7 linked regions of the Mus musculus genome follow. The main gene of each other region encodes a partner of the protein of the gene in region 3 in a complex. Links are inferred from orthologs where the notes say so. Each region holds a gene or a part of one and is shown on either strand. Other genes may lie near its edges. The genes, in order: Sctr, Crhr1, Gnas, Fzd3, Gpr21, Hrh2 and Olfr78.

The links.
Region 1: the proteins of Gnas (region 3) and Sctr are in contact, whole or in part, in a cryo-EM structure (PDB 6WZG), measured with the Homo sapiens proteins. The link is inferred for Mus musculus from reciprocal best matches to the Homo sapiens genes GNAS and SCTR. Residues at the interface, in NP_000507.1 of Homo sapiens: Gln35, His41, Val217, Phe219, Thr350, Tyr358, Phe376, Cys379, Arg380, Asp381, Ile383, Gln384, Arg385, His387, Leu388, Gln390, Tyr391, Glu392, Leu393, Leu394; in NP_002971.2 of Homo sapiens: Arg174, His178, Tyr239, Leu240, Leu243, Leu244, Ala245, Ser247, Phe248, Ser250, Glu251, Arg252, Leu320, Lys323, Thr326, Gln327, Thr329, Arg339, Arg342, Ser343, Leu347, Tyr388, Leu391, Asn392, Gly393.
Region 2: the proteins of Gnas (region 3) and Crhr1 are in contact, whole or in part, in a cryo-EM structure (PDB 6P9X), measured with the Homo sapiens proteins. The link is inferred for Mus musculus from reciprocal best matches to the Homo sapiens genes GNAS and CRHR1. Residues at the interface, in NP_000507.1 of Homo sapiens: Gln35, Arg38, Ala39, His41, Val217, Phe219, Phe376, Cys379, Arg380, Asp381, Ile383, Gln384, Arg385, His387, Leu388, Gln390, Tyr391, Glu392, Leu393, Leu394; in NP_004373.2 of Homo sapiens: Arg151, His155, Tyr212, Leu213, Ala216, Ile217, Leu219, Thr220, Tyr221, Asp224, Arg227, Ile290, Ile293, Leu294, Lys297, Leu298, Ala300, Ser301, Lys311, Lys314, Ala315, Val318, Leu319, Leu322, Phe362, Tyr363, Asn367, Ser368, Glu369.
Region 4: the proteins of Gnas (region 3) and Fzd3 are in contact, whole or in part, in a cryo-EM structure (PDB 8JHI), measured with the Homo sapiens proteins. The link is inferred for Mus musculus from reciprocal best matches to the Homo sapiens genes GNAS and FZD3. Residues at the interface, in NP_000507.1 of Homo sapiens: Lys34, Tyr358, Gln384, His387, Leu388, Tyr391, Glu392, Leu393, Leu394; in NP_001399840.1 of Homo sapiens: Arg232, Lys318, Ser321, Glu322, Leu397, Val400, Lys408, Lys413, Leu414, Phe417.
Region 5: the proteins of Gnas (region 3) and Gpr21 are in contact, whole or in part, in a cryo-EM structure (PDB 8HMV), measured with the Homo sapiens proteins. The link is inferred for Mus musculus from reciprocal best matches to the Homo sapiens genes GNAS and GPR21. Residues at the interface, in NP_000507.1 of Homo sapiens: Gln35, Arg38, His41, Val217, Pro321, Asp323, Arg342, Asp343, Leu346, Arg347, Thr350, Tyr358, Cys359, Pro361, Phe376, Cys379, Arg380, Asp381, Ile383, Gln384, Arg385, His387, Leu388, Gln390, Tyr391, Glu392, Leu393, Leu394; in NP_005285.1 of Homo sapiens: His61, His62, Thr64, Arg127, Ala130, Ile131, Thr132, Pro134, Leu135, Thr136, Tyr137, Asn138, Thr142, Pro143, Ile214, Ile217, Cys218, His221, Thr222, Asp224, Ile225, Arg228, Gln229, Arg231, Phe232, Arg249, Tyr250, Val253, Leu254, Asn308.
Region 6: the proteins of Gnas (region 3) and Hrh2 are in contact, whole or in part, in a cryo-EM structure (PDB 9IXJ), measured with the Homo sapiens proteins. The link is inferred for Mus musculus from reciprocal best matches to the Homo sapiens genes GNAS and HRH2. Residues at the interface, in NP_000507.1 of Homo sapiens: Gln35, Arg38, Ala39, His41, Asp215, Lys216, Val217, Asp343, Leu346, Arg347, Thr350, Tyr358, Phe376, Arg380, Asp381, Ile383, Gln384, Arg385, His387, Leu388, Arg389, Gln390, Tyr391, Glu392, Leu393, Leu394; in XP_006714928.1 of Homo sapiens: Arg116, Ala119, Val120, Met121, Pro123, Leu124, Arg125, Tyr126, Pro127, Val128, Ile205, Val208, Ala209, Gln212, Ala213, Arg215, Ile216, Ile219, Ser220, Trp222, Lys223, Lys231, Ala232, Thr235, Leu236, Leu291, Asn292, Arg293, Asp294, Arg296.
Region 7: the proteins of Gnas (region 3) and Olfr78 are in contact, whole or in part, in a cryo-EM structure (PDB 8F76), measured with the Homo sapiens proteins. The link is inferred for Mus musculus from reciprocal best matches to the Homo sapiens genes GNAS and OR51E2. Residues at the interface, in NP_000507.1 of Homo sapiens: Gln31, Gln35, Arg38, His41, Asp215, Val217, Phe219, Tyr358, Phe376, Cys379, Arg380, Ile383, Gln384, Arg385, His387, Leu388, Arg389, Gln390, Tyr391, Glu392, Leu393, Leu394; in NP_110401.1 of Homo sapiens: Met58, Tyr59, Asp120, Arg121, Ala124, Ile125, Cys126, His127, Pro128, Leu129, Arg130, His131, Ala132, Leu135, Asn136, Asn137, Ile220, Thr223, Val224, Leu227, Pro228, Ser229, Glu232, Lys235, Ala236, Thr239, Cys240, Lys294, Thr295, Lys296.

The regions. Positions count from the first base shown.
Region 1 is NC_000067.6:120,061,507-120,064,034, forward strand, and holds the end of Sctr (secretin receptor isoform 1 precursor), read left to right. Parts: intron 1-387; coding exon 388-429; intron 430-1,120; coding exon of another isoform or gene 1,121-1,276; exon of another isoform or gene 1,277-1,605; coding exon 1,606-1,776; 3' UTR 1,777-2,028; downstream 2,029-2,528.
Region 2 is NC_000077.6:104,170,781-104,173,401, forward strand, and holds part of Crhr1 (corticotropin-releasing factor receptor 1 isoform 1 precursor), read left to right. Parts: intron 1-2,130; coding exon 2,131-2,203; intron 2,204-2,525; coding exon 2,526-2,611; intron 2,612-2,621.
Region 3 is NC_000068.7:174,339,359-174,342,858, forward strand, and holds part of Gnas (protein GNAS), read left to right. Parts: intron 1-2,291; coding exon of another isoform or gene 2,292-2,294; coding exon 2,295-2,349; intron 2,350-2,451; coding exon 2,452-2,571; intron 2,572-3,500. UniProt on the Homo sapiens protein: Guanine nucleotide-binding proteins (G proteins) function as transducers in numerous signaling pathways controlled by G protein-coupled receptors (GPCRs).
Region 4 is NC_000080.6:65,259,664-65,263,815, reverse strand, and holds the start of Fzd3 (frizzled-3 precursor), read left to right. Parts: upstream 1-1,352; 5' UTR 1,353-1,484; intron 1,485-4,152. UniProt on the Homo sapiens protein: Receptor for Wnt proteins.
Region 5 is NC_000068.7:37,515,345-37,519,425, forward strand, and holds Gpr21 (probable G-protein coupled receptor 21), read left to right. Parts: upstream 1-1,281; 5' UTR 1,282-1,355; intron 1,356-1,714; 5' UTR 1,715-2,099; coding exon 2,100-3,149; 3' UTR 3,150-3,937; downstream 3,938-4,081. UniProt on the Homo sapiens protein: Orphan receptor.
Region 6 is NC_000079.6:54,190,853-54,194,928, forward strand, and holds the start of Hrh2 (histamine H2 receptor), read left to right. Parts: upstream 1-1,276; 5' UTR 1,277-1,341; intron 1,342-4,076. UniProt on the Homo sapiens protein: The H2 subclass of histamine receptors mediates gastric acid secretion. Also appears to regulate gastrointestinal motility and intestinal secretion. Possible role in regulating cell growth and differentiation.
Region 7 is NC_000073.6:102,756,672-102,760,713, reverse strand, and holds the start of Olfr78 (olfactory receptor 51E2), read left to right. Parts: upstream 1-1,242; 5' UTR 1,243-1,404; intron 1,405-4,042. UniProt on the Homo sapiens protein: Olfactory receptor. Activated by the odorant, beta-ionone, a synthetic terpenoid. The activity of this receptor is probably mediated by G-proteins leading to the elevation of intracellular Ca(2+), cAMP and activation of the protein kinases PKA and MAPK3/MAPK1.

The sequences.
Region 1 (2,528 bases), on a different chromosome or scaffold from region 3:
TTCGGGGGATCTCGGTCATCCCTTTAGTGAGAAGCTCCTTATCACCTCTGACAAGCGTCACGTGCCAGGCCTCAGGGTCAATAGGTGAAAATGATTCCCGATTTGTGTTCAACAAGACAGGCACATCAGGGCAATGTGGGCGCCAAAGTAGGGAATTCTCCAAGGTATGTGTATGTATGTGTGTGTGTGTGTGTGTGTGTGAGAGAGAGAGAGAGAGAGAGAGAGAGAGAGAGAGAGAGAGAAATGTTTACTCATGTGTCTGTGTGTATGCTCGCAGACATTCATGCTCTCTCAAGTTCTTGGGGGCAGACTCAGGCAGGGCAGGGTAGGAGGTATGAGCTAAGTCCAGCAACCCAGCATATGAACTAACCCAATTCCTTCTGGCAGGGGCTGGTGGTAGCTGTCCTTTACTGCTTCCTCAATGGTGAGGTGAGTGTCCTGGGGCACCGTGGGATTCCAATGCAGAAGTTCCCTGCAGAGAGCGGTGGAGAGGGATGGGAAGGGTTCTGGACAGGTCTGCTTGCTTGGCAGAGTCACCCGGACGTATGTTAAGTCACATCCTGGGCGATATCCCCAGGACAGAGCCAGCAGAAGTAGATTCTGGGCCGAGGTTGGTAAAGTGATCTTTACTAAGCTCTCTGGGTGCTCCTTATCTGTGGGCCAGTTCGGCAAACCCAGATGAGCTCAGCTCCCCCCACCCCCAGAAGCCAAGCTCCTGGCATCTCTGATACTTGCTTTGTGTGTGACTTGGTCACTTCCCACCTGGAGTGCCGTCTTCCCAAGGGTAAAATGGGTCACTCAGAACCACCCCGGCCTTGCACGGAAGCTTCAGTTTCAGGATATGAAGCTCTAGTTATGGGCCCTGGCTAAGTAAGTCACTGCACACAAGCCAAGTGTCTCTGTGGCTACTGGCCAATCTGTCTGGTTCACACACTTGAATGGGAATGACCTCAGATATTTCCCAAAACTCAAACATCACACCTGAATCCAGAGGCTGGCTCGAGTGTTCTATTGAGGACCATTAAGGACATGTCTGCAGAGAAAATCCTCAGATCCAGAGGGATTCTGAGCTAGGGTCGGGGGTTTGATGGGAATACTCAACCTGCATCAACTCGTGCAGGTCGATGCTGCCGTTTGTGGAACAAATACATCTCACTCATTTTCTGAGGGTAGTGTTGAAAGACGGCAGGTACGGATCAGGCAGGATGGCTCAGTGGGTGAGAGCGGTTGCCCTAAGACTGACAACCAAGTTCAATTTCCAGAACTGACGTGGTAGAAGGAGAAACTCAAGTTGTCCTCTGACCTCACAAGAATACCATCTGTTCTCTTGCTCGCTCACTCTCTCTCCCCCTCTCTTCTGTCTCAAAAAAATTAATAAAGTAAAAGATAATTTTTTAAAAAAATTAAAGACCGATACAAGTGCTCAGATTACAGGGGGCCTTCAGTACCTTCTACACAGGGGACAGGAAATGGTCATTCAGAGGCCTTTAGGCAAGGGGACCCGGCAGAACAGGACCAGCTGGACCAACCAGTGAGTTGGGTTCCAGGCACAGGCCTGGCCTTCCCTCCCAAGCAATTGCTGCAGCTGATGGCGGTCTTGGGCAGGTGCAGCTGGAAGTTCAGAAAAAATGGCGCCAGTGGCACCTCCAAGAGTTCCCGCTGCGCCCTGTGGCCCTCAGCAACTCCTTCAGCAACGCCACCAACGGCCCCACCCACAGCACCAAGGCTGGCACCTCTGAGCAGAGCCGGAGCATCCCCGGGGCCAATGTCATCTGAGGCTGCAGCAAGCCAGCAGCAGACAAAGGGTTGGATGCTCGGTAGGATGGACATCGGCCAGGTAGCCATTTTGTGTTCGAGTGGCTGCACAGGCCTGTCCCCGAGGTCTGAGCTTCCTCAGAGATCAAGCAAGAGGAGACTAGGTCATCCTGGAGCAGGAAACAGGCCTGGGATTTGGTCTTTCTAGTTCTTCTAAGAAGAGCACTTCAGCGGCCCCAGAAGGGGCAGAGAAATAAAATGACATCCAGAAAAGCCTAGCCTGTGTGTCAGTCTTTGCTACCTGGAGAAGGAGTGTGTTCTAGATCACTTTCCAACTCCTCCCTGCAGGAGGAGGGTGCTTCCCTGCCTCCAAATCCCAGCTCACTTTTAAGAACAAGCTCAGAAGCCCAGAACACACGAGGAATCAAGACCCTTAGCCTCAGACAGATCTTGTCTGTCCCATAGCTCTCTCACCAAGCCTTCAGGACAAAGGTAAATTAAGATGATAAAGCCATAGGGCATCTGACCCCCTCTCGTTACATAACCCTGATGAGGTAGGAGGACTTCATGGAAAGCTAAGTGCCTAGGAAAGTGAGCTGTGCTCTCTCTCAGTGGGTGGGAGACAGCTCCTCGAAGGCCCCAGGCATGGCCAAACTACTTGACATCGATATGGAAGCCTTGTTGCTTTGAGACAGCATCTCCGGTAACCCAGGCTGGTCTGCTATTCCCTAGGTAGCTGGAGATGGCCTTGAACTTACAATTGTCCTGCCTTC
Region 2 (2,621 bases), on a different chromosome or scaffold from region 3:
TGAATTGTTGCCATCACCAAGTAGCTATGTGTGACCTTGGAGCTCATTGTCACAGCAGGCCTCAGTTTCCTCATCCATGAAATGGGCATCTTCATTTTATTTGCCACCTCAAGGCTGTAGTGGGGATGAAGGGCATCAGTGCCTACTAAGCACGAAGAATAGCATCTGCCACCCAGTAAGTGCTGCATAAATGTTTATTAACATCAAGGTATGCTTTACAAAAAAAAAAAAAAAAAAAAAAACCTGGTTCAAGTGGTTTCAAAGCCTTTTCCAGCACAACCTGAAGCCTTGCACATGGGGGACTTTCTGGCTATCCCTCACAAGGATCATATGGGAAGCTCTAGAAAGTTCTATACCTCAGGGCTCCATGCTACCAGACTGAGGTGTGGCCTGGGTAACAGGGTGGTTACTGTGTAAAGCCAAGATTGAGAACTTCGCAGAAAGACTGAGAAGGTGGGAGGAGCTGGGTCACACTTAAGCATCCCCAGCTCCCAGCTAGCTGACTGGGGGTTCACACTGACAGACGCTCCTTTCCCCTCACTGGGCTGCACAAGAAGCCCGGGGGAGTATCATCCATATTTGTGAACGTTGTTCCTTCTGCCTCAGGCTGGGGTGTTTGTGCCAAAGCAGGGTAGGCGGCAGGCTGCAGGGAGCCAGTTCACTGACAGTGGGTGCGGTATCCCGGGGAAGGGTGTGGGCGCGGGGTGGGGGTGGTATCTTCTTGGGAATGCCTGGATGGGGATGCCTGTGCTTTGTAGGATATGAAATTTTGAATAGAAGAGACTGGGAAGGAGGGAGAGGCGGAAGAAGGCAAGAGACAGGCAGCGAAGGAAAACCCAGAAAGGAGCCTGCTCCCACCCTGGAGCAGGAAGGATGCTGTAAGGTTAGGTGTGAGCAGCTCTGAAGCTCCATCTGGTGGACAAATGCTGACACTGCAGCAGAAGTGGGGGAAGATGAGCAGCGAGGCCCCGGGGTCCCAGTCTGGAGTCCACAAACAGTGGCATATGACCTGAGTGGTGTTAAGAAAACAAAAACAAAAACAAAAAAAACTTGACGTTTCAGCCAGGGGGTCACATATGCTAACTTCACATTCTGGTTTACAGCATCCATTGCAATCCCATATGCCCATAAGGACACGGGACTTCCGATTCGCCCTGTCCCTGCCTACTCCCAGGAGCTTGCCGAGTAAAGGGCAGTTCAGGAGAATGCAGAACAGGCTGACATCTTGCAATAGGTGCTAGCTGTGAAACCTTTCCCTGCATGGGCTGCACTCCCAGAGTCCCGCAGAAACTGCTGTGTGACAGGGCAGTGAGCATCGCTCAGCCATGGCCACTGCCAGAGTCTCTTGGTGGACACCAGAGAATGCAGTTGCAGTGTCAGGCTTCAGGCTGTTTCTGGATTGCTGTTTGGAGAATTCTTTCCCTGGGAAACGCAAACAAGCAAGCTACCCCTGCCTGCCAGGGACCCAACCACAAACTCAGGTGCAATTCACCTAAGTCCAGCTGAGGAAACAATGAACTTCAGGGGATGTTTACAGGGCCAGGGTAAGGAGCTATTTACAGGCGCATAGGTGACCTCAAAGTAGCCGCACCACTAGAAAGTCTCCCCACAGCATGGATAAAGACTTCCCTATGATATGAATGCACTTAACCTCCATAGAGTTAACCTCCAGTTAACTCTACAAACTCGAGCATCTCCTAAGACCATGAAGCTATGTGCAGTGGGCACCTAGAGGTGTAGGCAGACATGGCTGGAATCTCAGGCAAGGGCCCACTAACCCTCCCACTCTACTTCTCCTTTCTGTGGGAGGAATATCAACAATCAGTCCCATCTTGAGGGGTCCTTACAAGCAGCCACAACTGCGTAGATGAGGATGGTGGCTGTCACAATCAGGGGCCTTCATGGCCCCTCCCTCCACAGAGTTTGCTCCAGCTTCGCATCCTACATCAGAGGGTACCACCCACTTTGCAGACGGGTTCACTGAGGCATTGAAGGAGAGTCAGTTGGACTGGCTTTCTTGGAAATTGGGGTGCCCTTTCCTGACCACTGTCAATGACCCTGCCCTATGTTCAAGCACTACACCACTGAAAGGACTAATCCCTCTCTTCCCTTTCCTCTGTGGTCTTCTAGGTGCTGGTTTGGCAAACGTCCTGGAGTATATACTGACTACATCTACCAGGGCCCCATGATCCTGGTCCTGCTGGTAAGAGCCTCAGGAGGTAGCAGGAGACAGGCCACCATGGGGTGGGACAGTCTGTCTACCATGGACAGTATTGAGAGAAGGAGGGAGGAAGAGGGAGTACGTGCGTGCCTGTGTGTGTGTGTGTGTGTGTGTGTGTGTGTGTGTGTGTGTGTGTGTGTGTTTGTATGAGCGAGTGCAGCAGAAATACCAAGAGCAGAGCTGAGAGAGCCGAGGAAAGCCGGTCCCATCCACCCCACCCACCTCCATTTCCTGCATTTGTCCCTGCTACCCACCCCAGCCCCTGCCACCCATCCTCACTCCTTCTGGTGTGCTCCAATTGCAGATCAACTTTATCTTTCTCTTCAACATTGTCCGCATCCTCATGACCAAACTCCGAGCATCCACCACATCTGAGACTATTCAGTACAGGTACCTGGCT
Region 3 (3,500 bases):
CCTGTTGAGAACACCCCCAACCTCTAAACCTTGCAGGCCCTCACCTAAGAGATGGACACCAATAAAAAATATATAGTGAGATCATTCAGAACACAGGGCCCCTCCCAAAATACACAAGCCTGCATGGAAAGAAAGCCCCAAATATCAGCTATGATAAGTCTTTGTTGAAAGAATGGGTTCTTTGGGTGTGGTCCTATTGGTGGGCATGAACATGACCCCCATATTCCCACTCTATTGGCAGGCACTCACATGGCCTCAGACCCCCAACCAATTTGCAGGCATGCACATGACCCCAGAACCCCACCCAACTTACAGGCATGCACATGACCCCCAGACCCCCACTCTTGGTGGGTACCCCAGAAACCCCCAGATCACCACTATTGGTGGGCACCTCCAGATTCCCATCCCTTTGGTGGGTATCCACATGATGCCAGACCCCTACTCTATTGGCAGGTATCCCCATGTCCCCCAAGTCTCCACCCTATTGGTGGGTATGCACATGGCCTCACGGACTCCCACCCCATTGGTGGGTATACATATGACCCCCAGACCCCCACCCCATTGGCAGGAATGCACATGCCTCCCAGACCCCTACCCTATTAGGAGATCTACATGCCTCCCAGACCCCACCCCATTAGCAGATATCTACATGCCTCCCAGACCCCACCCCATTGGCAGATATCCACATGATCCCTCAGACCCCCACCCCATTGGCAGATATCCACATGACCCCCAGGCCCTCACCCCGTTGGTGGGTATCCACATGACTCCCAGAACCCCACCCCATTGGCAGATATCCACATGCCTCCCAGACCTCCACCCCATTGGCAGATATCCACATGATCCTCCAGACCCCCACCCCATTGGTGGGTATCCACATGACCCCCAGACCCCCACTCCATTGGCAGATATCCACATGATCCTCCAGACCCCCACCCCATTGGTGGGTATCCACATGACCCCCACTCCATTGGCAGATATCCACATGACCCCCCAGAACCCCACCCTATTGGCAGGTATCCACATGCCCCAAGATCTCTACACCTCTGTCAGGCACATGGCCCCCCAGATCTCCACCTGAGGCCTGCCTGCCACCCCTCCTGGCTATAGTAGCCTCTGGTCCCCATCTTGCAACTTTACTAATTAATTTTCTACCCTGTTCCATGGGGAGGGGGCGTGATTTAACTTTCGCTATCTTGTGACTTCAATTTAATGTCAGTAAAAGCACCTCTGCCCTACCTCTGTCACTGCCACCTAGTCCTCTACCTCAGTTTCCTTATCAGAAAGGGTCTGTTCCTCTCCAATGCCCTGTTCTGTGCTACCAGGCCTCACCCTGAGGGTGCAGTGCATGCTGGTCTTCTAATCCCCCATTGGCCATGCAGAAGATTAGGCTCAGACAAAATGGAGTCTGCTCCAAGCAGGGAAGTGGGGCTTTGCTGCTCCCCTAAGTACAAGCTCGAGATTCTCTATGGCTGTGCCTGGCATATAGGCTGTCTCCTAAAAGACACAGCATTTTGAACCACTGTAACCTCCATAAATTAGCATTCCTTCTGGGGGGGACACCATCCACCCCCAAAACCAGAAGATGTGACCTGTGACCTGTGGGATCGCTGACTCTGACTGCATACAAATCATCCCAGAAAGGCCACAGAAGTTATCCCAGAGGCTGGTTTAAATAAGCAAACATCTAGCCAACTCCTCCTCCAGTATCCATGAACCCAATGCCCACCAACAATGTGGGGACCCAGGACTCCTAGCCACAACTGGGGGCCTGTTCAAAAGTGCTGTGAGCCACAGAACCCCAAACAACATCTTCCCTCCCTGGTGACAGATGCATAGATACTTAAATAATTAGATCTACAAATATGGAAATGGAAAACCCTAATATCAATAATAAACACTTGTCACCTCTGGGTCTCACAAACTACTGAATCCCAAGTTCAGCATGTACTAACCCTACCTCCATACAACCCTCCCTGTGCTAATCAAGAGCCACGCAGGAAGCAGCAGGGTGTGGTTGGAATGGACAGTAGACCAGGTGCAATTTCTGGTCCAGTTAATCAAGATCTCGATGCCATGTCTCTAACCCAGCCTTATCAGGCCTGTCCTCAGGACATGATTGGGAAATTATGATTTATTTTTATTTGGATGCCTTCAATCTATAGATCTAGCCCACAATTCCTTGGAAAACAGAATACTATGCTTTTTAGTTGACGTGTCTCAATGACGATAACACCCTGGTGGGCAGGATGCAATATGATTTTCTTTTTTTTTTCCTTTCAATCCCACTGTAGTGAGAAGGCCACTAAAGTGCAGGACATCAAAAACAACCTGAAGGAGGCCATTGAAGTATGTGTCTAGCTCCTTGCTCTTATCTTTTAGCAAGCCCCTCGCCCCACGGTGCTGCCCCCCCCACCCCCACGCCTGACCAATTTGCTAAACTGTTTTCAGACCATTGTGGCCGCCATGAGCAACCTGGTGCCCCCTGTGGAGCTGGCCAACCCTGAGAACCAGTTCAGAGTGGACTACATTCTGAGCGTGATGAACGTGCCGAACTTTGACTTCCCACCTGTAAGCTCCACCCTAACCCTGGTTTCCTCTGCCCCTCTCACCTTAGTCCCAGTGGGAACACGAGGGCCAGACTTGCATCAGGCCAGAGTGACCAGACACATACCTGCCGTGTGAATGCATAAGTTAACTCCAGGCATATGCCTAAGACTAAAGGATGATAAAGACATGATTAGGGCTTTGTCCAAAATGGATGAACAAAGTTCCATCACCTTTTCTAGACCTCAACCTAGTCCTCCATTTATCAGATAGTGAGTTTTTTTTTATGGAGGAGAGGTCCTGAGCTAAGGCAAGCTCAATTATTCCCCTCATACACATGAGGACAGACAAAACCACATGTTTGTTACACATGGCACACAAGTCCTAATTGTCCAGTTAATCCAGCCTAGTACAAATATGCACCTTCCAATGTTCAGATCTAAACATAAATTACAAAATGGAACATTATAAGAAAAAAATTGTTCTCATCAGCCCTTTGCCGGGAGCCTGACCCTCTTGACAAGGGTCTCTTGGCTTTCTAAAAGCTTTTTTTAGAGAGGGTAGAACTGCCCTGCGTCAAGCATATGTACACTTTAACCCTTCGTGGGGGGAGCAAAGATTTTTAAAGCCAAAAGAAGAGACTTGTCTAAAGTTAAGAAGTCATTGCTGCCTCTTCTTAAGCTTTTGTGGGGTTTGTGTTTTTTAGATGGGTTTTGGCTACAAACTTGTGAGAAAAATTAGTACAGGCAGGTACATTAAAAAAAAAATAGCTGTTGATTAAAACAATAAGAACAACAGCAACAGCAACAACAAAAACCAACCCTCCCAACAGGGAAACACAGCATGGATTCTATAGTCATCTGATTCCCATGATTCACAGAGACAAAATGGCAGCCTACCCACAATGCATCTGATGTCATTGACATCTGCTACTCTGATATCTGGACAATATT
Region 4 (4,152 bases), on a different chromosome or scaffold from region 3:
ATGCTGATTTGCCTGGAATGGCCCTAAGAATCAACATTATTGTCCTGAAAATGTTGCTGCACAAGTGCCAATAAGGAAAGTGGAAATTGCTATTTCAGATTTTGTTTATCACGCTGGCCTATCAAATTCTGTCAATTCTGATGTGAGACTGACCTGAGCACAAGACTTTTCAGCATTCACTAAATTACCTGAGAACCTTTTAAAAATTATATCTGACTCTGTCTCTTGTTATCTGTCTCTCTGTACACCTATGGGCCAGAGGTCAACTACAGGTGTGTTAGTCAGTTGCTCTCCACCTAGTTTTTTGAGACAAATCTTTCACTGGCCTGGGGATTCACCAAATGGGCTAGGCTGAGTGACTAGCTAGCCCCAGGACCCACCCTGGCTCCACCTCCCCAGCACTGGGACCACAAGTGCCTGCTATTAGGACTGATTTTGTTGTTGTTATTTTGTTGTTGTTGTTGTTTTGTGGGTTCTGGGGATGTAACTCAGGTTCTTCCGCTTGTATAGCAAATGTTTTACCAACAGAACTGTATCTTCAGCCCATATGTTCTCACCGTAGCCATTTATAAACATAAGGGTCAGTAGTGTCAAGTACAATCACTTGCAACAGGGCCAACGTTGCTGTATGTCCTGTGAGCTACCAAGAGAACCAAATGAAGCCATGGACTCTAAGTTGAAGATGGACAAAAAGAAAGATAGGTAAAACCCTGTAACAAAGAGAAACGCAATCACGATTAATTGAATACAGGCTCTTCCATTAAAATGCTGTGTGACTAAGTAAGACATCCAACCTTTCTGAGAGTTCTTCTCCCTGTTGGGAAAAAATAAAATTGTGTTTAGATGACCTCTAAAGAAATCTTTCAGCTCCTCAAGCCGTGCATATAGCAAAGGGAGTGGGGAGCCCTCTAAGCGGAAGATGAGGCATGTCACCAGCGAGCACAAGCTCCGTCTGTTTATAGTAAGGTCTCGGTGGAGAGGACGCGAAGTGTGCACCTGCTTCGCCGGTCAGAGTGCAGCGTTGCAACAGACCGGGTGTCCCTTGCTACCTGTGCGCGGCACTACCCTTCACCGTGAGTCCCCGAGGTCCGAGGTTGGCACACTGGCTTCCGCACTGGACCCGCACTGAGAACTTGGCTCAGGCGGACTTTGCAAGAAGGACTGGGCACATGTTGGATGAATGCCTCCAGCGCTGGGAACCACCAAACCGACGCGCGGCGCTCAAGACGTCACTATCACCTAGGACGCCAGGCTGAGAACAACGAAGCCGGTCAGCGCTGCACAGCCAGGAGCTGGATAGGAGGCTGACCGTAGCGCGCATGCGCGGCACGTGCGCGCGCACCTCCCTCCCCGGGCCGCGCGCCTCGACGCTCGCGAAGGCTCGGCGCGCCTGCGGTCCTCGGCCGCTCGGGGAACCTGAGGGACGCGCGGCTGCCTGCGGGGCCAGCGGCGCTGCCCGGGAGAGCCCGGAGGCCGGCGGTGAGGTGAGTCGTGCGGCCGACGTTTCCTCCGGGGCCGGGAGGGCGGGAGAGGAGCGTTGCGTGTGGAGAGCGCCGAGGCGCCTGCCCCAGCCCAGCCGCCCCTCGTCAGGCGGCGCTCGCTGCTCGCGTCGCGGCCGAACAAAAGCCCGAGGCCGGCGCTGCCGAGGCGGGCGCGGAGCTGCGGCTGGCGAGCGGCCCGGCCGGAGCCGGGTCGGAGTGGGCGGCGCGGAGTTCGGGGCCGCGGCCGCTCTAAGCGAGGATGCCCTGGGAAAGCGGCGGGGCCGGTACGTCCCGCCCGCGCCGGGCAACCTGTGCGAGTGTGGACGCGGCGGGTCCCCGCGCCGGTCGCCTGCGGGGAGCGAGGCCGGGCCCAGCCGGTTTCTGCGCTCGGCGCCGCGGGGGCGTGGGCGGGAGGACGATGCGCCGAGCTCCGGCGCCGCTGCTTCCCTGCAGCCCCCGGCCGACCCCTGACACCCAGCGCCCAAAAGTTGTCCCTTGCTGCCCATCAGTTTGCAAAGTCGGAGGCTCCCAGCGCCGCGCGCTCCCCAGGTACCCCCGCGGTGGGGACTCGGGGTCGGCAGATTTGCCCTGGGATGCGGCGTGAATTCCTAGCCTCTGGAATAAAGGCACTGAGATGCGGGTAACGTTAAGGTTGTAAACATCCCATAGGCTTTTCGCATCTTGGGACTCTTGGAGGTAGGGACTTCCTCAAGGGAAGAGGAGAGGGCTTTTTCATTTTTCTTTTCTCCTCCCTTTTCCTATTCTTTCCCTCTTGTGGGTAGAAAAAGAACAAAAGCACATGCCATTAATTAGGCAGAAGAGACTTAAAGTTGAAAAACGTCTCGAGAGGTCTGGGTTTTCGCCCAATGATAGAATCACAATTTTTAGCTCCCTTCTGAATTTCTCAGACTGCCGAACAGACGCACCAGCTTAAATCTCACGGTGGGAAAGTCCTTCAGTACATCCAGAATGTTTGTTGATGGGAATTGGGTTGCTTTGCAAAACCAGTACATGAGAGCAGGGAAACAAAGACCAGCTGGGCTTAAGGATGCCACCTCCCTTCTCAGCCTGCTTTGGTCCTCGGTGGTCTACTGGGCATAATGGGCTAGAAGAGGACTAGATAAATCTAGTTGTGTATTAAGAAGCGGGTACTCAAGTTGTGCATGATAATGGCTCATGCCTGTAATTTGAGTAATCGGAAACTAAAGCAAGAGAATCTCCGAAAGTTACAGGCCAGAATAGGCTGTGTAGTGGACCACTTTCTCAAAAAGAAAGGAGGCGATAAGACCTTACATTCTCTCTCTACCTTTAAACAAATCAGTGTCGTCGTCGTCGTCCCCCCTCCACCCCCGAAACAACACATTTTCTTGAACCACAGCATAAAGGTAAAAAGATTCAGGGTTAAGGAGCCAGGGAAAGGAGTGTAAATATTTGGAAGGATAAAACCGAGATAAACTATAACCCGGTTGCAGCTCTTCCCTAGACTTAGTAAAACAGTGGGTAGTGTTGATCTGTCTGCCCCCAAATGCTTTGAAACTGTTAGCAAAATAGGCATATTTTTAAATAAAGTCTAGAATTCTCTTTCATCTTTCCTGTTTTTTTTTCCTTTTGTCTAGTGATAATGTGCCTCTCATCTCTTAAAAGGCTAGTAAGGGTCCATTAATAGAAGAGAAAGTGACTGTGGCCTTCTCGTCCGTTTCCCCCCAGATTTCTATGAACTTTATTTTCTGTTTTGGGTCTTCAAGTGGATGGTTGTTTTGTTTTGTTTTGTTTTAATTTGTTTTGTTTTGTTTTAATTCCATGCTTGAGATATTTGAAGTAGAAAGGGTTGAGAGGAATTTAATAGTGATGTGTATAATACAGTGTAAGTCTTTGTATAATACAGCATGAAACCTTTATTGTGTGGGAAGAAGAGAGGAGGGGGTTCTGCTTACAAAAGAGTGTTTCCCTGCTTGACCTCTGGGAGCTGGGAATCTACCCCACTTATGTTTTATATTAGTTTGTTACTAACACTCTACAATGATTTTGTATGTAAAACTGAGCATGAAATCAGGTGTGGTGGCACACACCTTTTATCCCATCACTTAAAGGAGAATCTCTGTGAATTCAAGGCTGGCTTGGTTTACATAGCCAGTTCCAGGACACCCAGGACTGCATAGAGAAACCTCTTCTCAAATAAAAAAAACCCAAAACCAAAAAAACCCAAAGCCTTCTGAGCATCTTGGTATATTGATTGTTCTTAGGAGGCAGGTGGTAGGTAGCAGTTCTTAGCACATCATTATCTTCATTCAGTAGAGATCTGTGCAGAGAGATACAGTAAGGTTCTGAGGAAAGAAAAGGAGTTTTCAGTGGTGGTACTTGTAAGGCTGGGAATAACAACTCTTCATTGGCTCGAAGAGACGTTTAGCTGCTGTTTCAGAAATGGTCTCCCTCTCCAATTTCTAGTTTATCATTCTGGGAACCACTAGCTTCAGTGCATCCAGGGAATGCACTATAAATGAAGCTTTTGAAGACTACAACTCAGGGAGTGAGCTTAATACATTCCAGTCTCCCCCTCATTATGTCTCACCAAAACAGTACTTTACTGAAAGCACACAAAGCATATGGTTTTGCTAAGGGAAAAACACGAGCACTTGCTATTTCCTCACAAAAGCTCAGAGTTCTTGGACCA
Region 5 (4,081 bases), about 140 Mb from region 3:
ACTACAGCTGTGCTGATATACTGGATTATAAAATTGCAGATCAAGAGACTGATGGATATATTGTGTAAGAGGTTCTCAGGGGTAGAACCCTCAGCATACATGTGCTAGGGACTGGGAGAGTAGGAACAGGAGTACCTCAAGTTATCTGTGAGTGACAGTGACTTAAATACAAAAATCTCTGAGGCAGGAGGCTGTCCCTTCTGTGCTGCTCTTCTCTACTGAGGCCTGTCACATTATGTTATTTGTCTCCTTGAACATGTCTCGGGGGTCCTTACTTTCCTGAATTAAAGTGTTCACACTTCACTGAGCTGTGATTGTAAGCATCCTTTGCCCACAGTAAGAAAGCATGGATAAAAATAAATAAAAATACAAGTTGGATCACATGGTTCTTTGTTCAAGTGTACAGATCTCCTAGGATTACTACAGTTGCAGCATTTGTTTTCCTTTACTGATGATGTGAGGCTTTATTCAGGCAAAATTATACCATTCCCACAGCACCCAGTTTATGAAAACGGAAAGCACCCTTTATGACATTATCCAAAAAAGTAGTGTGTTATTTCAATTTGCATTGTTTTAGATAAGTAGAAACAAGATTGAACTGTAAGATTCAAAGACTTGGTACCTAAATATCTGTGTACTGTCACTCCACTCAAGTGGAGTACCTAACTAAACTGAGGAAGAAGGAGAGAACAAATAGCACCATTTCCAAATATTAGCCAATATCTAATAAATGATAAAGGAAAATTGAGGCTGAATATTGTCTCTCAGCTGTAACGTCTTGTGCAGCTGAATTAGACTTCCTCGGGTGCCATGTACTGTTACCATGCTTCCTTCCTGTGACACTGTCCTTTGTTCTTAGGGACACAAAAAAATAGGACTTTCCCCCCTCTCTCCTCTGGTACTGTACTTCAGCCCAAATCCCAACTCCTCCCTCTCTCCATCCCCACCTCTGCCCATGTTTCTTACTGGCAATCTGAATTCTGCTCATTTACCTATGAGGAAGATTGCCGACCGACAAGGAAACAGCTTTCAGATACATCCTGTGGGCGCACCAAGCCAGCGCCTACTGTGCCGTCGGGAATTCCTCTATGGGAATAAATGGTAATGAGTTGTCCAGCACGCTAGAGTGTGTGTGTGCCCTAGCACACAAGTTGCCCTGCCCTGCCCTGCCCTGCCCCACCCCCTTTCTTCCTTTTCCCAAGCCCCTCTCTCTGCTTCTCCTCCTACTCCTTTAGCCCCTCCCTCTGTGCCTTAGTTCTGCAGTAGGCTGGCTTTACGAACATTCCTGCATTGCAAGGCTTTCGGTTAAGGATGTATTGTGGCTTTTGTTTGGATTTCAGCATGCAGAATCACAGGTAACACTCTGAAATTGAGCTAAGCAGATAAATTGTATTAAGGTGTTTGCAGAGATATAATAGTACATTGGATTTAATGGAGAAAATAATCTTGGTTAATTTTTATCAATGATAATGTCTTCAGGATTACCATAAGGAGATTCTCCTACAACACGTAAAATAAAAGAAAATGAGGGTTTATAATTTCTTTATGTTGATCTTGGAAGCATGGTATTGCTGTTCCTCCAAAGTAAGGGCCGTTTATGGAGGAGGCTGCTTAGGGTGAAGTGGGAGGGGTGCTGGCAGTCAGAGCTAGCTAGGTTCTTTGTCTAGGATGTGGAATGCAAAATGTAAAATGCTCTCTCCTTTTCTTCTATCAGCTGTTCAGAGGAGACTCATTACAACTCCTGCTGAAGCTACTAATCTTCCTCCCTCTGCCCCTCCCCCACCCACACTTGGCCTGAAGACACTGTCCCCAGTTTGCCTTACTCCCTTGCTATGTGTTTGGTGAAACTGGCAGTATGGCTGCGTCTGGGACTGGCCAGACAACTGCTGTTGGCTTTCCCTATTCCAGGAAGAATTTAAAGGGAAATTGTACAGCAGGCAGTATACCCACCACAGCAGCAACCTCAGGAACGTGATGACTAGGGCTCCCTGGCTTTGTCACAGGCATGCAAAGCTGACTGCAGTGACAGTAGCTGCTCCTGAGAACTGAGACAGCAGCCAGGTGGCAGCATGAAGTGAGAGCCAGTTCCTGAGCACGAGATGAACTCCACCTGGGATGGTAATCAGAGCAGCCATCCTTTCTGTCTTCTGGCACTGGGCTACTTGGAAACTGTCAGGTTCTGTCTTTTGGAAGTGCTGATTATTGTCTTTCTAACTGTATTGATTATTTCTGGCAACATCATTGTGATTTTTGTGTTTCACTGTGCACCTCTGTTGAACCATCATTCTACAAGTTATTTTATTCAGACAATGGCATATGCTGACCTCTTGGTTGGGGTAAGCTGCCTGGTCCCTTCCTTATCACTCCTCTACTACCCTCTTCCGATTGAGGAGGCCATGACTTGCCAAGTATTTGGTTTTGTAGTGTCAGTTCTGAAGAGTATCTCTATGGCTTCTCTGGCCTGTATCAGCATTGATAGATATATTGCCATCACTAAGCCTTTAACCTATAATACCCTGGTTACTCCCTGGAGACTACGCCTCTGTATTTTTCTGATTTGGCTGTATTCCACCCTGGTCTTCCTGCCTTCCTTCTTCCACTGGGGTAAACCCGGATATCATGGAGATGTATTTCAGTGGTGTGCAGAGTCCTGGCACACCAACTCCTACTTCACATTGTTCATCGTGATGATGCTGTACGCCCCAGCTGCCCTCATTGTCTGCTTCACGTATTTCAACATCTTCCGCATCTGCCAGCAGCACACAAAAGAAATCAGCGAAAGGCAAGCCCGATTCAGCAGCCAGAATGGGGAGACTGGGGAACCCCAGACCTGTCCAGATAAGCGCTATGCCATGGTCCTATTCAGAATCACCAGTGTGTTTTATGTCCTCTGGTTGCCATACATCATCTACTTCTTGCTGGAGAGTTCTACTGGCTGCAGCAGCCGCCTTGCATCCTTCCTGACTACCTGGCTTGCTATTAGTAACAGTTTCTGCAACTGTATCATTTACAGTCTCTCCAACAGTGTTTTCCAGCGAGGACTAAAGGGCCTTTCAGGGTCTCTGTGTACTTCTTGTGCAAGTCACACCACAGCCAAGGACCCTTACACAGTTAGGTGCAAAGGACCCCCTAATGGATCTCATATCTGAGGGGGGCTCATATATTCAGTCGCTCTATTTTCAAGGAGAAAGGATGGCTTTGGTTCAGTTTTTTTTCTCTCCATCTCTGCTTCCAGTTCACTAGAGAAGTAAGAGCAGCTACAGACTATCCAGATAACCTTCATAGTTTGCAGAAGTTGCTTCCTAAATGAGATTTAAAATTAGAAGAATCAGGATCATAAAAAGAATCACTCTTGATCCAGTTTTTGAAATGTCATGGAAGTGACTACAGTTCTCAGATTCAAAAGGAGTAAAGCCATAGTTGACACCTCTCCCCACTGGCGTGGCTGAATCTGGGTGTGAAAAGCATCAGCATGTTAAAAATAACCATTTTCTTGCCCCTTTCTGGATTCTTAAATGCAAGTTGGAATTTATGTGCAATTGGTTATCTTCTAACAGAAAATATTAACATATATTGATGAACTAGCAAGGATTTTCTTTATCTGTGCCAAAATATAACTGTACTGCAAGTTTCAGCATTCATTTGGATAGTGAAATATTTTCTTTTCTTGCCTTTTGAGAGCAATCTCCATAGGATGAGTAATGTGAGCACGGAATATTACTTTATAGAGTTTTGAAATGAAGCAACTGTGCAGTGAAGCCATACAGTGTGTGAGAGCCAGCTGCTTTCACGACATGCTTCTGAGCATCGTGAGCATGTGTGCAGTAATGACATTACAGTGCTCTTTCTGGGCCTCTGTCTGTAAATATTGAGAATGTGTACACTGAGTTGGATTTTTTATAACAAAATGTATTTAATCTAAATAAATAATAGAGGGACAGCTGTCCAATTGTAATGTGAAAATATGTTTTTTAAAGTGACTGTAGTGTTTTCTGTTCTAATCCAAAGTCTTCAATGAGAACTGAGTCCACTGACGCAATCAGCCCAGGGTCAATGTAAACTGTCTGTCTTCTAAATAGTC
Region 6 (4,076 bases), on a different chromosome or scaffold from region 3:
GAGGGTTGGACGCCCAGGAGCAGAGACATGTGACCAACTTGCACGTTTTAGAGATGACCTAAGATGCTTTGTGAATGGCAAGAGAAGAGCTCAAAAGTCTACCTTGGAAACAGACTGGTTTGGCACAAGGGAACATGGCGAATGCATCCCTAGTGAGCAGAGTGTGCACAAAGCTCACCCTGTATCCCTTTCACTGCCTTGGCCCAAGGCTTTATCTGTTGTTATCCAAGCCTCCGTGAGGTGAGCATGACCCTTAGGGTCACAGAGGAGGAAACTGGCTCACAAATAGAGACACTTATCTAGTGCTTGCCACAAGAACTTCAGGAGAGAAGATAGGGACAGGCAGAATGACCACAGTGCTGTGCTAGGCACTGGAGTAGCAGCCTAGCTAGGGAGGCAGGTGGCCAGATGAGCTGCCCCTGGGTACTTGAGGGGAATCTGCTACGTGGAGGGAGTTTGTCAAAGAAAAGTAAGAGGCTTGGGTCTGCACTGATTTGAGACACTACCTCCTGCCAGACACTCCGCCTCAGGTTGCACTGGCTCAGCATCTAGGAGGTGGAACAGTCTACCTGGACAGTTTTTATTTGTCCTGCTTCCAAAGCCCCAACCCCCTCCCATTTCTTTCCACCAGAACCCCTGGGCTGACTGAGATCTACCCAAATCTGGCTTTCCAGATTCCCAAGATCTTCCAGGATTTTCTCAGAAAAGCTGGTTCTTCTCTCGCAACTGGCCATTCTCGGAGTGGTCAGGTCCTGGAGGAACTCAGGTGAAGGGCTCATCAGATTTCTGGCCTAGCGTTCTCAAACCAGAGTGAGCCAAGACTGAGCATCTCCCCTCACACCATCAATGTGCACACAGGTGGGCAGAGTCTCAGGCCAGGGAGCTGCCCAGAATAAGTAGCCAGAATATGTAGGAGGGGTGGCGGGGTGGGGGTGGGGGTGGCGGGGTGGTGGTGGGGGTGGTGGCGGGAGGGGGGGGACGTGACAGATGACCATGTGAAAGGGAGGAAAGAAGAGGGAGGGGTGAAAGCGTCCAAAGAAGAAAAGGGGGGTTGGGAAGGGGGAAGAGAGGGAGGAAGAGAGAGCAAGAAAGGGGGAGACAGAAGGAAGAAGGGGAAGAGGGGGGAAAGGGAGAGGGGGGAGAAAGGAAGAGGGGAGGATGAATATGGGAGAAAACGCTGAGGAAAGGAGCGGCTTTCAGAACGAGGAGGAGCGAGTTGGGGGCGGGGACGAGGAAGTGGGTGCTAGGCGCACGCCGCCAGCTCCATCCTTGCCCCAGCCAGTGCAAGCGCGCAGTCCTAAGCGACCCGGTACAGCCGGTGGCGCACAGCAGCAGCACCAGGTAAGGTAAGGTGACCGACGCCTCCTGGCAGACGTCGCCTCGGGATGGGGACGCGGGTGGGGTTGCGCGGAGACCAGGCTGTGGCGTGGCCACTTTGGCTGCCTGCTTCAGATTCCTGCCGACCCCCGTCCCCAGATCGACCTCAGGCTGCGCTGCACACAGGAAGCACCTGACCTTGGGCTGATGCCTCTACCTAGATTTCCTCCCTGTCACCCTCAAGGGTCATACCCACCCCCAAAGGGGTGTTATGAGCTAGGCTTGCTGCCTCATCCCGCGGATGTGAGGGATGCCAGGGTAGCCTCACACCCCCGTGCCCTCTAAGGTGAATTTGAAAATCTTCTTGCGCTTAAAGGCTTGCTTTGTGCCCTCTGGGCGGTGGCGTGAGTCTCCTGATATATGTGTGGGAGCTTGGAGAGACTTTTGACTCCCCAGCACCAGTGAAGCGTCAGGGGCTGACAGGAAGGAGGCTGTCTAGTTTCTCAAGAACAGGTCGCCTTGCCTAAGTCCTCCTGGGCTGCTGCCCCATTCCTGGGCTGCTGGGAAGCGAGGAGTTCCCTGCGCTAGACTGGGAGGGACTCTGGTAGCTGTTCTGGTAGCTGTCCGAGACACCAGGGACATCTGATAGCTGTTCACTGGTAGTGGAAGTTCAGAAGTGGCCTTGACTCTGGTTTGAGAAACCCAGTGACCTTGAGCCTGAAAGCCTCAGTTTCCCCCTCTGACATTCACAGGGCAGTAAAGCACCCTTGAGCAGAGGTGTTCCCACTGGTCACTGTCATACACTAACTTTGGCGTCTACTGAGCCTTGGCACTGTTTGTCTGGAGGTCATATATGTAGCTAAGCATGAGGCATAGAACAGGGCCCAGAGAATGGAGAGGTTCAAGTCTTAGGAGCCCCACCCCTCCCCTCAGACACATGTCAAGGTGGCTTTTTTAAGAGACATCTCCCAGATAAGTCTTGGCCAAGCTTCTGCTTTCTTAATTATAAGAGAGAGTTATGAATTTCTATAAACATGTTTGCTTTCCCCAAAGGTTATCCAGGACTATGGGACTGATCTCTGAGCTGGGTTTGGGGAAAACCGGAAAGAGTAAAGATATCATTTGTGGGCAGGCCTGGCACCAGGCACATTAGGTGTATAATAATTCAGACTAAAGTTGTCATCACAGTACTTCTGGGGACCGGTATTGTTAACCCCCTATTGCAGACGGAGAAACCGAGGTTCTCCACAGTGATTTCCCGTAGTCCCTGCTGTGGAGTTTGGCCTCCCATCCTCCCAGCTGCAGGGGTGATACTGCTTTGTATCATTCTAGTCCCAGCCATTAAATAAGAGCATGAAATGCACAGCTCCCAGTGTAGACTTGGCTATAGTTCCCTCCTTGTCCCACACCGGAAGAATAGCTGCACACTTCCTGGAGGTGACTGATGGTTGTCAGTGAGAGCTGGTACCCTCACCAAGCATTGCCTCTAAAGCTCAGGAAGGAAGGAAGGCCACTGCTCAGTGTCCCACAGAAAGCAATACTGAACTGCTTCGCCTCTGCAGCTGACTCCGCCCTGTGTCACCCTGTCCCGATTACCCCCCTCCCCGCTGAGTCTCAGCCTGGACAGCTCCCCTGGGTTCTGAGGCATGCCCATTCCCTCTGTCCTGGACTAATGGCTAACTTGTACTAACTGGGTTGACTCAGTCCGTGTCATCCAAGTGACAGTGACATCTGAATAGGAGGGACAAGACAGAAGACAAAAATCTGGTGACAGATTCAATCTGGCAAACACTCCTTTTAGAGACACTCTCTCCAGAAGCCTTCCCAGTCATCATGTCCGCAGGGAAAACAAACCCAGCTGTGGTCCCACTCCACCAACGCCCCGAGGAAGTAAAAGCAGGATTAAACTGCAATCAGAAGGATTTGGTTCATCCTTGGGAAAGAAATCCCTGGTAATGGGGTAAGGGTCTCAGCAAGCCAAAAAGGCTCTTTGCCAAGAATGTTTTAAAACAAGAGTACATCCATCCACATGGAGTGATGGAGGAGAATGAAGATGACTGCAATCCCCAAGACAGTTACCAAAACTCAAAAGAGTGCCTAAATGCCCAACAATAGGGGCAGACAAGTCTTTACTAAAAACAGTAATATTGGTTGGGGACACCCTTATCCATTGCAGACATGGCATGACCCTGGATTTGAGACAAAAACCTAGAAAGGGAGGGATCAAAAGAAGGTTAGCAACATTTGCCCATGGTGGCAGGATTGGGGTCATGGTTGCTCCCAGGGCTTTCCTGATTTTCTGCAAGGAGTACCTACTTCGCTAATCAGCATGGAGATCTCCGTGGCTTCCAGGGCTGTGGTCTTGCAGAAGGAAGGAAGTGAGTGAAGGAAAGAGGTGTTCCTGGTATGGTTCAGTGGATGGGCATGCCACCTCTGAGACTTCCAGAGCCTCGGTAGACAGTGTCCTCAGAAGCAATGTTTGCCAGACTGAGTTGGTCACCATCTTGTTTCCTATCTTCTTCCAATCGCCACCTGTCCCAGTTCTCATTAACTGACATGCACAGTTCTTCTGTGTTTCATACGTATGGGTATGCACCTCCCTGGGGACCCCTGAAGGCGGGGACTATGGGACCCTGGAGACCACTGAGGGCGGGGACTATGGGACCTACCTACCCTGTCTTTTCTCACTAGTTCCTTCACATAGCTAGCATGTGTGTTCTTGCCACAACAGCAGCACACATGCACACGTGGCAATGGCA
Region 7 (4,042 bases), on a different chromosome or scaffold from region 3:
TGACCTTGGATTGGTAGGACTGCAGGAACAACTAAAGAAACCATGTATATAACCAATCTGTGAATAATGCTTAGTAAAGACGTGGGGGAGGGGGGAGGGAAAATAGTCAACTCACCTTAGATAGCATCACAAGCCAAAGACAACTCCTACCTCCCCTGATTCCTTAACATAATAGTACCATAATTTGAACACAGTACATATGCTCCCCAAATCATCTGAGTTACTCTCCCACCTTGCCTCTTCACATACCAAAATAGAAAGCAGATAAAATTATGGAAAAAAATAAAGAAGAAGGTATTATTTTCTGTGTACCTAAATTATGGACTGAGATGTTTTACCACCCTGTTTACAAAACACCTGTTTCTAAGATAACTTTGTTTTTGATTAGCATGTGAATGTTAGCCTGTCTCTCTTCTAAAAGTCTAGGCAGTGGGCTTATGTTGTGTTCTTTTTTTATTATTATTAATCCCTAGCACTTACAGAATAGCTAGAACATAGGGCATCATTATGAAATCTATATGCATAGATGACTGTACAAGTTATTTCCTAATCTTAAGAGGTAGTTACTTAATGATCCAGTGTTACTATGAATAATGCCAGACTAGGAGGTTAAAACACTATGGAGTCTAGCTGCATATGTATCAAAAGATGGCCTAGTCGGCCATCACTGGAAAGAGAGGCCCATTGGACTTGCAAACTTTATATGCCCCAGTACAGGGGGATGCCAGGGCCAAAAAGTGGGAGTGGGTGGGGAGGGGAGTGGGGGGGGAGGGTATGGGGGACTTTTGGGATAGCATTGGAAATGTAAATGAGGAAAATGCCTAATAAAAATATTTTTAAAAAAACATTATGGAGTGAAGTAAACTTATTACCATAGCAGGAGATGTTTTAAGCATATGATATTTCATTTTTAAATTCACCTCAAATGGCCTGCTAATGGTTATGGCATTTTTGAGGTGGTGAAATTTCCCTATATTGGATTGTGGTGATGGTTCCTGCATAATTCTGTGATTTTTCTTAAAAACTATTGAGTTATACACTATAAATGAGTCAATTTTATAGTATGTGTACTGTATCTCAATAAAGCTGTTATTAAAAAAGAAAACTTTCCAATGAAACAGCACAAGGACAAAACTTTACATCAGCTCATAAAGCATGTAGGCATAATCACATTCTGGAAGAGATATAAAAAGCCTGTGTCAGGCAAGTGGAGTCCTCGGGGAGTGCCCACACCCTAGAGGCACAGTGAATTAGCACTGCCGCTGGGAACCGGTCCCTCGACTCTGCTGATCTCCAAACAAGCTGAATAAATCTCAACATAAGCTGGACCCTCCTCTGGAATCTGAAGCTTCCTCCAACCTTCTGAGTTAGATTGAGGGGACTCATTGCTGCTGGATGGGCTCTGTAAGTAAAACTGTTCAGTGCAAGCCCCTGCCTCTGGGTGAGCCATACATACTGTCTTAGCACTGGGGGAGGATTACATTGTGGTGTGCAGAATTAGATAAGCTAATGTAATAGAGAACTGAAGAGGATGGAAAACTTTTGAATTATGGATTCCCAGGAAATCTACAGAGAATGAGCACTTTGTTCTGCCTGCTGGGGGGTTCGGGGGGGGGGGGTCAGACAACCTGTCTTTAGTCAAATGGCTTAATTGGTATGCGGATACATTTGTCATAAGTTAACCTCATTTCTAAATCCAATGACTCACACAAAAGATAAAAGCTTGCAGCTCATCATAGTGATACATGCCTGCAAAGACCAGCACTTGGGAAATGAGGCTAGGAAGATTGGAAGCTCAGGGTGACCCTTGGCCACATACTAGGCTCAAAGTCAACCTGTGAAAGATGAGACTCTGTTTCAAAAATCTAAATCAATATAAATTTAATTTAAAAATAAAAGTAAAAAGTGAAATTACCTGTTGTGAACATTTTTTGCATGCCAGTGCTCTATTAGGCAGTTTATATCTAGCCCTATAGATGAGTAAACTATACTAAAAGAAGTTTACATAGCTTATAGGTTTCAGTGAAATAAGGCATGTTTAAGAGTATAAACATTGTAATTAAGGAAAACTGATTTCAGAATACTGGCTGTGGGTCTCACCAGCTATCTGTGATGCTGAGTATGTTTCATAACATCTCTCACATTTGGTTATGACTTTTTTCACTGAAAAAGTAACTTCAAAGTAAATTTATTAATGCCACACATATATATATGTTGTTATAATGGGATCTTAAGACTAGCACAGTAACGCTTGATGATCTGACAAATGTGTTTTAACAGTATGAACAATTTTTATTGCTGACAAGGCTTCCAAAGGATTGTCTGAATACAGATCCAACCCTTGTCTGATACACACTATAGACCAGCAGCAGCAGCAGCTTGGAACACACTGATGATACGGCATTGGTCTAAATCATCAACTGAAGGAAAGGCAGACACAGGCTACAGCTTTCAGTATTAATGGAAAAAAAGCACATTATCTAAGTAGGAGAGTTCACAAGAGAAAGAATGAAGTTGTCTATGACTTGAAGAAAATGAGTCTGACAGGTCTGAGAGTGCCGGCACACTGAAGAATGGTTTAAAAGAGACAGAAATGATGAAGAATCCTTATAATCTCAACACTCAGGAGGCCAAGGCAACAGGATTGTGACTACAGGACAGCCTGGGCTCCATCGTAAAATCTTGTCTTGTTGAAAGGAAAAAAAAAAGATGCAGAATAATTTCTAGAAAATGTGGTGTATTTTTTATGCAATTTTATGCAATTTTTTAATGTAACAAAAAGATGTGATAAACTATAATGTCAAGTACCAACTGGCATCTTGGACATTTGAGAACTAAAATAAATAGCAAAATAAATAAATAAATAAATAAATATATTACTGGCAAGACAGATCTAAAATGGGGATGAGAGAGGGGAAATGAGTAATTTTAATTAGATGATTATTAGACCTTAATTCCATTGGCAGATAACTGAAAGAAACAGGGAGTGGAGAAAGAAATGAGTCTGCTGAGCTCTGCTGGAGGTTGTAGTGTCTGAGGACTGAGACTATGTCTCTCAAAAACAGGTGTTTTGTTTGCTTTTTATTACCACTGGAAGCAAAGAGCTTTTATTTGTTCTCCAAACTGTGGCTCAACTGCAGATTTGAGCACATCAGCCCGGTCCACATTTCACTGCTGCCTTCATGTTTAACCCTTCACCTTTCTGATAACTTTTGCAATACAGAATTGGGAGATGTTAGCTGCACGCATCAGGTGGACGGGGGTTATTTAAAGCCATGGTCATAATGAGGTTATCTCTAGGAGAGGCTATGGACTGCAGGAAGGGATAAATAAAGCCAAATTTTCTCCAGTGCCACAATTTAGAAGGCAGAGAATAGTATTTGCTAATAAATAGTGGAAAGGGCTAATCTGTCAGAGGAGTCATCACTGAAGCAATTGAAAAAGAAAGGATCAAGGAAGAGGTAAGTGGGAGAAAAAACATATCTGGAATTTACACAGAATACTTAGAAATACATTAGTCACTGAGTTGAAAGATTTTCTGAGAGTTCTCAGTGGGGAAGTATCCTGCTTGTTACCAAGGGTGAAGGAAAAATAAACAAAAGCAGATTGTTCTTCAAGCTCTTCCTTGCTCGCTGTAAACTATGCAAAAGGAAAACCGAAGAAGGGATGGTATTTATGACTGGTCCCTCTGTTATCTAAGCACTGTGGTTAATAACGACAGATAGTGATGGGTCCCAGTTGAGATGAGTATGTTGAAAGTCTCTACACTAAAGTGAAAAAAAGCATTCATTATTGAGTTGGGATAGAACTTGTAAATAGGACCCAATGGAGCCCAGCAAAATGCTAAAGAAAGAAAGGAATGCTGTTGGAACTAAATTAGAAGAGACAGACAATGGCTTGTTTACTTACTCATAAAATATTTGGAAATGCCTGGGTCTTGATGCTTCGCAATGCAAAATCTACCACATTATCCTTTCCAAGAAATTCAAGATTCTTATGTTTTCAATCACTCACTTCTCCCTCACCTAAAGGAGACTCACGT